Linked DNA regions of Canis lupus familiaris. The protein of the gene in region 1 interacts with the protein of each later gene in a pairwise test. Links are inferred from orthologs where the notes say so. Each region holds a gene or a part of one and is shown on either strand. Other genes may lie near its edges.

The links. The genes of interacting proteins can lie anywhere in the genome.
Region 2: the proteins of KPNA2 (region 1) and NMNAT1 interact in a two-hybrid assay, tested with the Homo sapiens proteins (3 studies listed by BioGRID and IntAct). The two-hybrid records come from large-scale screens. The link is inferred for Canis lupus familiaris from reciprocal best matches to the Homo sapiens genes KPNA2 and NMNAT1.

Annotation. Positions count from the first base shown.
Region 1 is NC_049230.1:14,373,406-14,381,297, forward strand, and holds the end of KPNA2 (importin subunit alpha-1), read left to right. Parts: intron 1-261; coding exon 262-530; intron 531-991; coding exon 992-1,086; intron 1,087-1,183; coding exon 1,184-1,447; intron 1,448-1,641; coding exon 1,642-1,875; intron 1,876-2,134; coding exon 2,135-2,317; intron 2,318-3,913; coding exon 3,914-4,063; intron 4,064-4,908; coding exon 4,909-5,001; 3' UTR 5,002-5,255; downstream 5,256-7,892.
Region 2 is NC_049226.1:63,610,880-63,618,060, reverse strand, and holds the start of NMNAT1 (nicotinamide/nicotinic acid mononucleotide adenylyltransferase 1), read right to left. Parts: upstream 5,271-7,181; 5' UTR 4,808-5,270; coding exon of another isoform or gene 4,753-4,807; 5' UTR 4,724-4,752; exon of another isoform or gene 4,417-4,723; intron 3,731-4,416; 5' UTR 3,607-3,730; intron 3,368-3,606; exon of another isoform or gene 3,211-3,367; intron 1-3,210. Other genes in the region: protein LZIC, read left to right, coding at 4,753-4,807, 5,474-5,562, 6,271-6,422.

The sequences.
Region 1 (7,892 bases):
TAAAAAGATCTAAAGTAGTTTTCTGGGGGAATAGCAAATTTCCATTATTGGTAATATTTTATTTTGGGGGAAAAAAGGTAGTTAAAGACACCATATGTGGTCATACTATGCAACCAGTCTGTTCATCTCCCTTAAGTTCCGGGATATGTCAACATATAGTGCATTAGCTCTAAACTCTTAAGTTGCATTTTAAATTGATTTTTACACAAACTACTTTTGTTAATCATTTTCAACTTTGTTTCTTTTTTTGTTTACCCTTAGGAAACTGCTTTCTAGGGAAAAACAGCCCCCCATAGACAACATAATCCGGGCTGGTTTGATTCCAAAATTTGTGTCCTTCTTGGGCAGAACTGATTGTAGTCCTATTCAGTTTGAATCTGCTTGGGCCCTCACTAACATTGCTTCTGGGACATCAGAACAGACCAAGGCTGTGGTCGATGGAGGTGCTATCCCAGCATTCATTTCTCTGTTGGCATCTTCCCATGCCCACATCAGTGAACAAGCTGTATGGGCTCTAGGAAACATTGCAGGTACTTGGATTTAAAATTCTTTGGACTGGGATCCCTGGGTGGCTGAGTGGTTTAGCACCTGCCTTTGGCCCAGGGAGTGATCCTGGATTCCCAGGATCGATTCCCACATTAGGCTCCCTGCCTTGAGCCTGCTTCTCCATCTGCCTATGTCTCTGCCTCTCTCTCTTTCTGTCTCTCATGAATAAATAAGTAAAGTCTTTTTAAAAAAATAAATAAAATTCTTTGGACTATCTCTGATCATACTGAGGTTGGGAGAAGTGCCTTGTCCATAAGTAAGAGTGACCTGTGTGTTAAGATTTAAACTTGTTTGCTTCCAGTGCTTATCAGGGCTGCTAATGGCATATAAGTAAGTTAGGGAATTTCCGAGAGTATTGTGTTTGCGTTAGGACACTGGTGAACTCAGTCATTGAATATTGATGGTGCTAGACAAGTAGGTTATAATTAACCTTGCCTTTTTTTAGGTGATGGTTCAGTTTTTCGAGACTTGGTTATCAAGTATGGTGCAGTTGACCCACTGTTGGCTCTCCTTGCAGTTCCTGATATGTCATCTTTAGCAGTAAGTTACTAATAAGTTAGTTTACTTCTTGATTCTTATTTTTTCCCACCCCCTGAAAATACACAGGAGTTCTCACTGCATTTTTCTTTCCCCTCAGTGTGGTTACTTACGTAACCTTACTTGGACACTCTCAAACCTTTGTCGCAACAAGAATCCAGCACCCCCGTTAGATGCTGTTGAGCAGATTCTTCCTACCTTAGTTCGTCTCCTGCATCATGATGATCCAGAAGTATTAGCAGATACCTGCTGGGCCATTTCCTACCTTACTGATGGTCCAAATGAACGGATTGAAATGGTTGTGAAAACAGGAGTTGTGCCCCAACTTGTGAAGCTTTTAGGAGCTACTGAATTACCCATTGTGGTAAGTTTTTAACTTTTAGCTAAAAATATTAAACCTTAAGCATGGTCAGTTGATACTAACAATTGACATTGCCTATTTTAGGCCATGATGGGCCTCTGATTTGTCAGAACCTTTATAGAGTTTTTGAGCAGTGCTGGAAAAAATAAAAGATAACCACTGGCATCAACTTTTTTTTCTTTTCTTTTTCTTTTCAGACTCCTGCACTAAGAGCCATAGGAAATATTGTCACTGGGACAGATGAACAGACTCAGGTTGTAATAGATGCAGGAGCACTTGCTGTCTTTCCTAGCCTGCTAACGAACCCCAAAACTAATATTCAGAAGGAAGCTACATGGACGATGTCAAACATCACAGCTGGTCGCCAGGACCAGATACAGCAAGTTGTGAATCATGGATTAGTCCCATTCCTCGTTGGTGTTCTCTCTAAGGTAATGAAGTCTTAGTATTTAGTCAAAGAATGTTAGTATTTATGGATGGACATTTGGTAGAGCTGTGCTTGATAAGATTCTTAATGTGCCAATATTGGATTCTACCTAGAGTCCTTTTGCTAAATAGTGGCCAGTAACCTCCTTCACTTAAGATTAGATGGAATCTGTTGGTAGTTAGAGTTGTTTTTCTATAACCATACTTTTGGGATCCTATTTTTACAATTGTTCTGAATTAAACTTGTTTCCTTATGCTTATTAGGCAGACTTTAAGACACAAAAGGAAGCTGTATGGGCTGTGACCAACTATACAAGTGGTGGAACAGTTGAACAGATTGTATACCTCGTTCATTGTGGCATAATAGAACCATTGATGAACCTCTTAACTGCAAAAGATACCAAAATTATTCTGGTTATTCTAGATGCCATTTCAAACATCTTTCAGGTAAGTTATAAGGTAGCATTTGAACTTGGCCTTGATGGTAATGGATGATATTTTAACCCACGGGAGGGCAGCTAAGTTTGCTCAGTAGGCCACAGAATTAGAAAGGCTGCTTATGTGGGCCACACTCTTGGTAAGACGTGACAAGGGATTATAAGAGATTTAAAGGAGATGACAAGGGGATGACCTGAATTTAAATCAAGTCCATATGTGGACACAATTCATTCCTATCTATTTTGTCAGAAATCTTTAATTCTTCAATGTCCTACTGAATTATGGTGAAATTAAATTTTGATGACTTAGTTATCCATTTTATTTTTTTTCTGATTCCCTTCCTAATTGACCCGAGCATGCTAGCATATGACACTTTGTCACAGTGGTTGGGGATAGGTAGGTCCTACCTAATGACTTTAAACTTCTGATTATGGAAATTCTACCTAGAAGAGTCTAGAATAATGATGCTTGGTGTATCTGTCACCCAGCATAAATAAATTGTCAACATTTGGCCTATTTTTCTACTCCTTCTTACCTAAACCCTCTAAATTATTTTGAAGCAAATAAATTATTTAATCTGTAAAAATTTATGTATCCTAAAATTTGAAGACTTTAAAACCACAATGTCATTTTTATACCTAATAAATTCTTGATTATCAGTAAGTAATCCAATCAGGGATGTTTATTTTTATACACCTTAGGCCATCTTTGTCCTTAGACGATGGTTCTCTACCTTGACTACACTTTGATGTTATCAGAGGTGCTTTTTAAAAAAGATTTTTTCTTTCATTCATTCATTCATTCATTTATTCATTCATTTATGAACCTGAGCATGTGTGGCAGGGGCAAAGGGGGAGGGAGAGAGAATCTCAGCAGACTCCATGCTGAGAGTGGAGCCCAAAATGGAGCTCAGTCCCACAACCCCTGAGACCATGACCTGAGCTGAAACCAAGAGTCAGATGCTTAACTGGCTTGAGCTACCCAGGCACCCCTGAGGTGCTTTTATAAAACAGTAATATTCTGTTCCCATCAAAGACCAAACTTGGTTATGGTAACATTTTTATTTTTTTTTATTTTTGTTTTTTTTTAAACTTTCTTTTTTTTTAATTTTTTATTAATTTAATTTATTTATTTATTGAGAGAGAGAGAGAGAGAATGGCTGGGACACAGGCAGAGGGAGAAGCAGGCTCCATGCAGGGAACCTGATGTGGGTCTCTATCCCGGATTTCCAGGATCACACCCCAGGCTGCAGGCGGCGCTAAACCGCTGCACCACCGGGGCTGCCTGGTTATGATAACATTTTTAAAGTTGCCCAGGTGATTTTGATTCATAGAAATGATTTGAGACCTACTGTAAGATCTAGCTGAGAGCTACAGAAGTAGTTGTTAAGAACAAGTATAGATCTGATCACCTTGAATTTTTTGAAAATGTAAACTGGAAATAAAACCATCTCATAGGGTTGTTGAAGGAACTTTAAAGTGGTTGTCTGAGATCCATCAATACCCAAACATAAACACGGTTTTCCTTTTTTTTTTTTTTTTTTTCACGGTTTTCATTAAAATAGAACATTCAGTAAATTCCACTAAACTTGGATATTTTTTTTAGGCTGCTGAGAAACTAGGTGAAACTGAGAAACTTAGTATAATGATTGAAGAATGTGGGGGTTTGGACAAAATTGAAGCTCTACAAAACCATGAAAACGAGTCTGTGTACAAAGCTTCATTAAACTTGATTGAGAAGTATTTCTCTGTAGAGGTGAGTAACATGGTAAAGTTAACAAGAATTTGGAAAATACACAAAGTCAAGCCCATAAGATTTTTTTCTTCCTTATACTTTTTAAATGAGCCCTGTGACCTTGTTAAATATGGCAAAATATCAGTGTGAGTAGGACATAATGTATATATATATTTTGCTTCTTAAATATTTGGCTTGATGATCATATAATCTTTAGAAATTAAAAAAAATTTTTTAAAAATTACCCCTCTTTCTTTAGAATGAACAGTCTTAAGGACTTTAGAGTATCTTGAGAGTAAGTTTGTATAGGAGATGATGGAAAAGTGGGCCAACCCCACTGCCATCTTCTGGGGCTAATAGGCCATCTTCCCATTTCCTTTTTTTTTTTTTTTTTTTAATTTTTTTTTAATTTATTTGTGATAGTCACAGAGAGAGAGAGAGAATGAGGCAGAGACACAGGCAGAGGGAGAAGCAGGCTCCATGCACCGGGAGCCTGACGTGGGATTCGATCCCGGGTCTCCAGGATCGCGCCCTGGGCCAAAGGCAGGCGCCAAACCGCTGCGCCACCCAGGGATCCCCATCTTCCCATTTCCTATGGAAAAGTGACAGGTGGGGAAGAAAGTCTGCTGTGGTAGCATTCCTTAGTCCATTCGGAATCTTCCATCTCCCAGGCGCTCCTGAATTGGCAAGTTTTCAGCAGCTTTCCCTCCACTATTTCAAATACTGAAATATGGTACGGCATTGATTAGTATAATATGCAGATGAAGACCTTAAGAGTAAATAGAGACTTCTAGGCAGGCTACTTCCTAGAAATGTGCTATGTGTGTGAAATTATATTGTTTGGTTTTGTTTTTTAATACTTCCAGGAAGAGGAAGATCAGAATGTTGTGCCCGAAACTACCTCTGAAGGCTATACATTCCAAGTTCAGGATGGCACTCCTGGGACCTTTAACTTTTAGATTGTACAGCTGAGACAGAAAGTTGTTTGTTGTGTACTGTTTGGTAGAAGTTTGTCTTACTGTTTCTCTACTAAGAACTCTTTTTAAATGTGTTTTGTTATTGTAGCACTTTTTACAACGAAACTATACTTGACCAGTTCTGAACTGTACAAACTGTATGAAGCTCCTCCTCTCAGTGGGTTGCTTATTTCTATGTGGAATCTTCTATCTTACAGTGTCCTGTAAATAAAGATTAAATTCCACCCTTTTCTCTACCTCACCGTTCCTATGCATTACTTTCTAATTTGGAGTTCTTAAGATTGCAGATGAAGGGTGACAGAACCAAACCAATGTGACCAACCAGAGGTGTAATTCTGGTGGCAGATGACATTTGATATCAGGTTTGTGATGTCCTCAAAGATAAAGGAGTCATAACTCTTCTGCCCACTTCTGAGCTCTGGGTTTGCTCTAGGCTGCTTCCATTCTTTGTCAGTAATGGCTGTTGGCACTTGCAGCTTCATATCCACTATACTCCAGCCAGAATAGAATTTTTCAGAAGTTTGCATAAGAAAATGAACAGAATTTCCCAGAAGGCTTCAGCCAATATCTCCTTTAAATCTCACTGGCCAGGGAGTGAGAGTGAGGCCAGGGAGTGAGGCTCCTTGCATGGAGCCTGCTTCTCCCTCTGCCTGTGTCTCTCATGAATAAATAAAATAAAAAAAATATATATATATACATATATACATACACATATTCTACACATATATGTATGTGTGTATATGTATGCATATTAATCATAATTAGGATGTTTATATATACGTGTGTGTAATATATACATGTACATAAAATTTAATATATATACACATGTGTATATATATATTTATTTATTTATATATATAAAATTAGAAGTCTCAAGCTACAAGTAGAATTCATTCCTCCCAAACTTCAAGGCTGAACATGGTTTCAAAGCTGTTGGCATCACCTGGAAAGTTTACCCACAAATTCTGTTTAATTGGTAAGGGGTGGGGTCCCAGTATCTGATATTTTAATTTTAATCCCCATACATTCTTCCTGTACAGTCCAGGTTGGAAGGCACTAATCTAAGGAATAGTTACTATTAGCAGCATAGGAAATGGGCTTGGGGGAAGGAGAAGGGAGGGTTAATAAGGAGCCCCACTAGTCCTAAGGACAAATGAAATGCACCTTAAAAGCACTACTGTCTTTTTCCTTTGATTCATGGAAAAGTAATGAGCCAAGCCTCCACTGCTGATATTGGACAGCTTTGCCTGGTTGTTTTGCCATAGACGATCTAGAGCTGACGTGATGGGGGTGGGCATTTGGGTTGAAGACTCAAAGTGTGATAGGACCACAAAGGGCTACTATATTCAGTTTTTAAAATATGCTAGTTTTGCAAATCCGTATAATGCAACAGATTTCCATTTACTTTCTCAGTGGATATGAATGAACATGATATTCTTTTTTTTTTTTTTAATTTTTATTTATTTATGATAGTCAGAGAGAGAGAGAGAGAGAGAGGCAGAGACACAGGCAGAGGGAGAAGCAGGCTCCATGCCCCAGGAGCCTGACATGGGATTCGATCCCGGGTCTCCAGGATCGCGCCCTGGGCCAAAGGCAGGCGCCAAACCGCTGCGCCACCCAGGGATCCCTGAACATGATATTCTTAACCCTTCAGTTCATTAACCTATACATACGTAACGTTTTGCCTTTTGCAGAGAATAGGCTTAAAGTTCCTGCTATGAAATAATATTTAATGCTTATTTACGTATAGAAATAGCAAATACTTCAGCTAATACTTCTTTAAAGTACCTCCTGCAGCCAAGTTTTTGATTTGGAACACCGAGGCATGTTACATTCCGTCCTCCTGAGCTTAGGGCGTCCTGTTGGGAGCCCTGGTCATTTTCTCGGCTTTTTATATGCAAAGGCTTCCATAGAGGAGAGGCAGAAGAGAAGTCACGAAACTACACAGACTGCCTTCCTGCTCCCACCTACTTGCTCTACTGCCCTTTTTTTCCTACCCTTGCTCTAAGGTAAGTCCCTAAGATCCTGGACTCAAAAGTCTTGAATGTGAGAAAAATCTTGGAAGTAAAGCTGGACACCATAGGTTTTTGTTTTAAGAGAGCTGAGGCTGAGTGGGCTCAGAGGGACCAGTGGAATACACACTGGTAAGAAGCATAAGGTCTGTTGTTTTTAGAGGGAAAACATGACCCAATAGTGAAGTAATGGACAGGAGACAGCTGATTGCCAGAAATACATTTTCATATTTTAGATAGCATTTTTAGCACGCTAGCTCCTTAGAGTTAAAATCCATAGATAACATTTTTAGCAAGCATGCTGGTTTCCTTAGAGTTCAAATCCATTTCTATGTTTTTTTGAACTTGATAAGATTTTCTAAGAAGGAGTTTTCATATTCAGCTTGATTTTTGAAAGTGATAAAATTTTATATAGCTACCAACATTTTCCTTTTTCACAGTGTTGTCTAGCTTCTTTTAATGCACTACTAAAGTTTGTAGCTCCTTTGACTTTTTTTTAAAGTAATGCCTATGCTCTTTTTTTTTTTTTTAAGATTTTATTTATTTATTCCTTGAAGACCCAGAGAGAGAGGCAGAGACACAGGCAGACGGAGAAGCAGGCTCCATGCAGGGAGCCTGATATGGGACTCCATCCTGGCTCTATGGGATCAGGCCCTGGGCTGAAGGCAGCGCTAAACCGCTGAGCCACTGGGGCTGCCCTCCTTTGACTTTTATTTCTTTTTAAGATTATTTGTTTATTTATTCATAGAGACACACACAGAGAGAGAGAGGCAGAGACACAGGCAGAGGGAGAAGCAGACTCCATGCAGGGAGCCTGACGTGGGACTCGTTCCCCGGTCTCCAGGATCACTCCCTAGGCTG
Region 2 (7,181 bases), on another chromosome or scaffold:
AGGGGAAAGATCTCTGACTCAAGGGACTGGGCAGATGGTGTGCCACCAGTCAACAAAGAATATTAGGGGGAGTGTAGCGGGAAGGCACACAGATGCTACAGTTTTATAGGTACTGAATTGGAGGCACACACCAGACATCCAAGTAGAGATCTCACAGGCAGGCAGATGTAGAGACTAGAACCCATAGATATTAAACACTATATTCCATAAGATATGATTAATAGAAGGTTGTTTACTAAATTATTTTTTGAAGAATTAGAATATTAGTAAGTTGAAGAAGTCACAGAAGCTTTGAGAAAGTAAATAATTGATAGAGGAAAGTCCTTAAGAAGACAAGAGAAAGGATCTTAGGTATAAAGTAAGAAGATAGCTTAAAAATAATGGGAAACGGGGTAGAACATGCAATTCTTGATCTCAAGGTCATGAAATCAAGCCCACACTAGGTGTAGAGCTTACTTAAAAAAAAACAAAAAAACAAAAACAGGGGCACCTGAGTGGCTCAGTGGTTGAGCGTCTGCCTTTGGCTCAGGTTATGACCCTGGGGTCCTAGAATGGAGTCCCCACAGGGAGCCTACTTCTCCCTCTGCCTATATCTCTGCCTCTCTGTGTCTCTCATGAATAGATAAATAAAATCTTTAAAAAAAAACAAAACAAAACAGAGGAACATTAAAAATAATAATGGGAAGAGATGAAAATATCTATCTATACAAAGAATTACATGGTTTGGCTTTATACATAATAGCCAAAAACTAGAAACAAGTCAAATGTTAATCAACAGATGAATGAATAAAAGAATGAATGAATAAGCAAAGTTGGTATAGCCATATAACAGAACACTACGAGGCAATAAAAAAGGAACTACTGGGGATCCCTGGGTGGCTCAGTGGTTTAGGGCCGCCTTCAGCCTGGGGTGTGATCCTGGAGTCCCAGGATTGAGTCCCACATCGGGCTCCCTGCACGGAGCCTGCTTCTCCCTCTGCCTATGTCTCTGCCTCTCTCTCTCTGTGTCTCTTATGAATAAATAAAATCTTAAAAAAAAAAAAAAAAAAAGGAACTACTAATACACACAACATGGATGAATCTCATTATTTTGAATGAAAAGAGCCAGATAAAAAAAGGCACACATTGTATGATTCAAGCTATATGAAATTCTAGAATAGATTATTTAATTTATAATGATAGAAGGTAGATCAGTGGTTGCCTAGGGTTGGGAAATTGACAGAAGAGGAGCAGAAAGCTGTAGGGTTCTTGCTTATGATATCCTCATTTTATCTTGTGTGTCCCTCACTAAATGGCAATACTTCCACTCTTTCTCTTTGGATGGACCTGTTCCTTATAAATATATATCCAATTATGCTCATTTAACTGAAGTGATAATGACTAACATTCACTTTCTTCCTGTGTGCTCAGCAATAGGTTAAGCACTCATGTAATCCTTACAACACTCCAATGAAGTAGGTACTACTAGTATCTCCTTTTTTTAAGTTTATTTATTTTTAAATAATCTCTAGGGCAGCCCTGGTGGCTGAGTGGTTTAGCGCCTGCCTTCCACCCAGGGTGTGATCCTGGAGACCCAGGAGCAGCATTGAGCCTGCTCCTCCCTCTGCCTGTGTCTCTGCCTCTCTCTCTCTCTCTCTCTATCATGAATAAATAAATAAATAAAATCTTTAAAAATAAAATAAAATAAAATAAATAATCTCTATACACAACATGGGGCTCGAACTCAAAACCGTAAGATCAAGAGTTGCATGTCTTCCTCACTGAGCCAGCCAGGTGCTCCTACCATCCTTTTTAAACAAACATGAGAAAACAAAAGCTAAAAGAGGCTGCTTAACTTGCTCAAGATCTCACAGTTTGTGTAACAACCTTCACTCTAAAAATTCATGCTTTAACCATGACATAAGACTTACAATGGTACAAACTATCTACTGGTAGACATTTGAAAGAGATCCACATGTTTGGAGAGCCTTTGGCTCCTTTGGCTTCTTTTTTTTTTTTTTTTTTTTTTTTTTTTTAAGATTTTATTTACTTACTTGAGAGAGAGCAGGAGCACAAGAGTGAGAGGGGTAGAGGAGGAGAGAGAGAAACAGACTCTCCGCTGAGCAGGGAGCCTAATGCAGGGCTCAATCCCAGGAACTTGGGTTCATGACCTGGGCCAAAAGCAGATGCTTAACAGACTGAGCCACCCAAGAGCCCCTTTCTTTTTTTCTTTCTTTCTTTCTTTTTTTTTTTTTTTTGGATTTATTTTATTTACTTATTTCAGAGACAGAGAGGGCAGAAGGGAGGGAGGGAGAGTGCACATGCATGTGTGGGTTGGGGCAGAGGGAGAGGATCTCGAATTGATTCCAAGTTAAGTGTGGAGCCCAACACAGGGTCCATCTCACAACCCTGAGATCATGACCTGAGCCGAAATCAAGAGTCGGCCTCTCAACTGACTGAGCCACCTCCGTGCCTCAGGCTAATGTCCTTCCAGTTAACCACTCAAGCTTTATCTGTCCCAGCATTTTCCCTACCAAGTTGGAGCAACTTGCACTCTCTGGGCTCCCATCCCAAGTCCAAGTTAAAATGTCCTAAACTCCAGGGCGCCTGGGTGGTTCAGTCGGTTAAGTGTCCAACTCTTGGTTTCAGCTCAGGTTGTGATCTTAGAGTCGTGGGATTGAGCCCCATAGACTCCACGCTTGGCATGAAGGCTGCTTGAGTTTCTCTCTCCCTCTCCCTCTGCCCCTCCTGCTCATGTTCTCTCTCTCCAATAAATAAATCTTTTTTTTTTTTAAGATTGTATTTATTTATTCATGAGAGACACAGAGAGAGACAGAGAGAAGCAGAGACACAGGCCGAGGGAGAAGCAGGCTCCACGGAGGGAGCCCTATGTAGGACTCAATCCTAGGACCCCAGGATCACGCCCTGGGCTGAAGGCAGGCACTAAACCGCTGAGCCACCCAGGGATCCAATAAATAAATCTTAAAAAAAAAAAAAAAAAAAAAAAAAGAGTGTTAAATGTCCCAAACTGCTCCAGTATTTCTGGTTTCCCAGTTATGATTCCCACCCAGCTCTGAAGTTATTTCCCCCAATGCTCTCTCTCCAGTGACTACCTATATAACATGTTATTCCTCTTTTTCCAGTGTCTTCTCTTCCCTCCTCACCCTCCTCCAAAGCCTAGATTCTGTGTTTGTTTGAGAACCAGAACCCAAACCAATTTCTCTTACTTACACACTGGGAATACTTTTTCATTATCCTTGAACTCTAGACAAGAATCCAGGGAACACTCTAAGCAGAGAAGTGCCGAATCAGACTAAGTCACAAAGAAAGAAGAGCAGGCAAACAGAACGCCTGGGTCAGCACAGCTCTGATGATCGCACACAAATGCCTGAAGAGAACACATACTGTCATAACCAAAATTAGGGGAAGTACACAATGAGAGAACGTTTGTTTAGCAAGTTCTTCAAATGCTAAAGCAAAGAAGCATATTTTTTTCAGTGTGCTTTGCTTTGGCACTGACCCTGTCTGTCCCTGAGAGATCTGCGTTACTGAAAGCCTGGATGTGTCCACACGTATTTACCGTTATCAAAAACGAGACCTGATGACAGTAGCACAGCAGTCACTTACTTTCACAAAGGAAATTCTGTGGACCTGAAGTGTTGTGCAAGGTGGGTCACTGGAACCATTCCCACCACAGCAAAGGCTTCTCGGTGCTGGGCCAGAACCAGGGTTTCACAGCACAACTCTAACTCTGAAAAACAACACAGGGGGGTGCCTGAATGGGTTGGTGGGTGAAGCCTCTGCCTTTGGCTGAGGTCATGATCCCCAAGTCCCAGGATCGAGCCCCACATGGGGTTCCCTGCTCAGTAGGGAGTCTGCTTCGTTCTCTTCCTCTGCCCGTCCCCCAGCTTGTGCTAACGAATAATAATAATAATAATAATAATAATAATAATAATTTTAAAATCTTTAAAAAAATAGAGAAAAACGAGAAACCCAAGGATCAGAACTGGGGAAGTAATTCATTGTGGTCGACTTCCCTGGGAACTTTAGTTGGAAGGAAGTCTGGAGGAGTCGGGGGCTGAAAGAGAACGAGCCCAACTAGCCAGCCCCACGACGTCTGGGGACCTGGGACTCGGGGGACCTCGGACTCGGGGAACTTCGACCTCGGGGACCTGGGACTCGGGGGCCGCGGGCGAGGGGAGCATTTCCGCCCAGTTTCCCGGTAACTTTCCAAGCTGCCCAACGGCCGGCGGTGCCCTCAGGGGCGTGAGCGCCAAACCCCGTCTCTACGGATTTGCAAAGACGGATTTCCGAGGAAAGAGGAGGGAAAGAGAAGTCCTTCGGGACGGAACACTTCCTCCTCCGTCCCCGCCCACCTCCGCCACGCTCCAGGGGCCTCTGGAAAGGGATCTTTTCCCATTTTCCAGGGTGAGTCACCTGTTCGAAAGAGAAACTACCGAAGATGTGGGCTCCCCAGAAGGATGGAAAGACTGGAGGCGCGGGACTCCTTGTCCTAAACCTATGACCTTGCCTCGAGGACCGCTATCTGCCCCTCAAAGACGCCACCATCTCGGAGTCCCCCAAGCCTGCGAGGAAGGGACCTGCGCCGACTCCCCAGAGCCAGGTCTCTCAGGGGCTCCGGCCTGCAGGGGGCTTACCAGGTCCTGGGGCCCACCCGCCCGAATCCTCCCGGAGAGACGCCGCGCAGCACGGACGCCAGACTGAGCAACACCCGTGGCCGCACCCTCATTGGCTCCCGGAGGCCGGAAGTGCATGCGTCCGCCGGAAGTGTTCCTACTGCGAGCGTCCGCCAGGCCGGGACCCTCAGGTAGGCGGGGCCCCTGCCTCCGAAGTCCCGGCACCGGGCCGTGGCCCGGTGGGGCGGGGAACCCCGAGGGCCCCAGGAGGTTGTCCGGGTTCTGGTCCCGGAGGTCCGGAGGAGTTTCGGGGGCGGGGGCTCGTGGCGACCTCTGGTGGCAGCCGGGGCCTAATCGAGCCCGGCGGCCGCAGCCCCCCAGTGCGGGAGCCCCGAGTTCCCGGGTGGAGACGGGGTCTGGGGTCTTTGGGGCGGTGGCCGGAGCCGCCCCTGCCTGCGGCGCGCCGGGATGGCTGAGGTCCGTAGCCGCTCGGGTCCAGGCGGGAAAACGTGTGCCCTTCGCCCTGGTCGTGTCGGTGCTCCTGGCTTTGCCCTCCAGCCACCTGGGGGTGCGGGGTTATCCTCAGGGACACCCCAGAAAGGCTGCCCAAGGCGCAGTCGCGGGGAAGACGGCTCCCCTCCCTCCTGGCCCGGCTCCCCTCTCCCCCAGAAGAGGAGGGTGTGCTTCCGGGGCGGGGCTGCCCCCGTGGAAGTTACCTGGACCGCTTTAGACTAGTGCCTGCGGAGTAAAGGAAACTACCTGCTAATGGTTTCCGACTCCCCAGCTAGCTCCACCTCCCCGTGGTTTGGACTTTGAGCCTCTAGTAAGTCCTGATGAACGATTTCGCTTTGCTCAAGCTCATGACTCTTGGACCTTCAGCAGCGGGAGGTTTATGCACTTTGGGGCGGGTCGACAGCCTGCAGAGTTCAAAGCACTGAGAGACCAGGTGAGCATGAAGGAGGATCTCCCAGTCCGGTTCCGGTTTTTGAGGGTCCTTTCGGCAGTTTCTGCCAAAGGTGCACCGCCTTTATTGGATATTAGGTGGTGCCAGCGAGTTAATCTTTCTGGAATAAATTTCACCTAACGGACAGCACCAAGTCAAGGCTTTCAAAGTGTCCAACAGCCCAGAAATGCATTTAAAATAGTTTAACCGGGATCCCTGGGTGGCGCAGCGGTTTACCGTCTGCCTCTGACCCAGGGCCTGATCCTGGAGACCCAAGATCGAGTCCCACATCGGGCTCCCTGCAGGGAGCCTGCCTCTCCCTCTGTCTGTGTCTCTGCCTCTCTCTGTATCTCACGAATGAATAAATAAAACCTTAAAAAAACAAAAAAGAATGAAAACGAATCTTTTAATGAGTCTCTTGGTAAAGCATTTGATCTGTTTCTGTATAAAACTTTTTTCAACATTCAAATTTGTTTAAAGTAAAATGGACTAATCGTGAAGATTTCTGATTAACTTGTAAAGTCACTTAGGAAGACTGCCAGGCTTTTTGTTGGGATGTTACTAGTATATGAGTTTAAACTTTTTTTTTTTTTTAGTTTAAACTTTTATATGTAAAATGAAATTCTCTTTGCACAACCATCTTTCCCACACCTATAGCTCAGAAAGAGTATAGCCCGTTTTAAATCACACTGGTTTGTTGAATCATTTCAGATAACCAAATATATACTGTATGTGGGCTTGTTGTTCTACTTAGAGATCAAAATGGCTTCCAGAGGAAAGACAGAGACAAGCAAATTAAAGCAGAATTTAGAAGAACAATTGGATAGACTAATGCAGCAATTACAAGATCTGGAGGAATGCAGGTAATAGCATAACTGAATGCCTCTCTGCTGTCAAGTGGCTTTTTTCTGCAGCTAGATTACAAGCTGTGGGTGCAAGCCCATGTGTGATTTTGGTTTCCCCTATAGTGCTTTGTCTGTTGGAGAAATAAACTCAGTGTGAGCTTTGGAGTCATAAAGGTAAACCTTTTAGTTTCCATTTCCTTGAGTGTGAAGTAGAAATAGTAACACCTACCTTGTCTTCAGTACATAAAATAGCCCTGCCTGGTATATACTTGAACTTCTAGTGTATTTTCAGCCTTAAATGTTCAACGGACCAAAACTGCTCATTGCCTTTTTTAACAACTTTGAAAGGTTGTTGTAGGTATTTCAAATGAAGAGGCCAAACAAGGCTTGGCCTTGAGTAGGTGCTCAATAAATGGTAGCTGTCATTATTTGTAGGAAATGTTTAATAAATGGCTTGTTCAAAAAAAATGGCTTGTTCAGTTAGTGAATAAAAATAGCCTCTTACTCATATGACAGGTACTACGTTGCTGTTGTATTTCACGGTACACAAAATTTTACCTACTGTTAGTGATGATAAAAGTAACAGCTATTTTGTCAAGTACCTGTTGTTTGTCAAGGACCTTCCAGAGTTCATGTAATGCTCATAGCAACCCTAGGAGGTAGGTACTATCATTATCTGTGGCTTATAGATCAAGAAACTGAGGCTTGGCTGTGTTAGGTATCTTGCCCAAGGTTATGCATTGATTCATAGACTGCTTAAAAGGAAGTTATTATGTG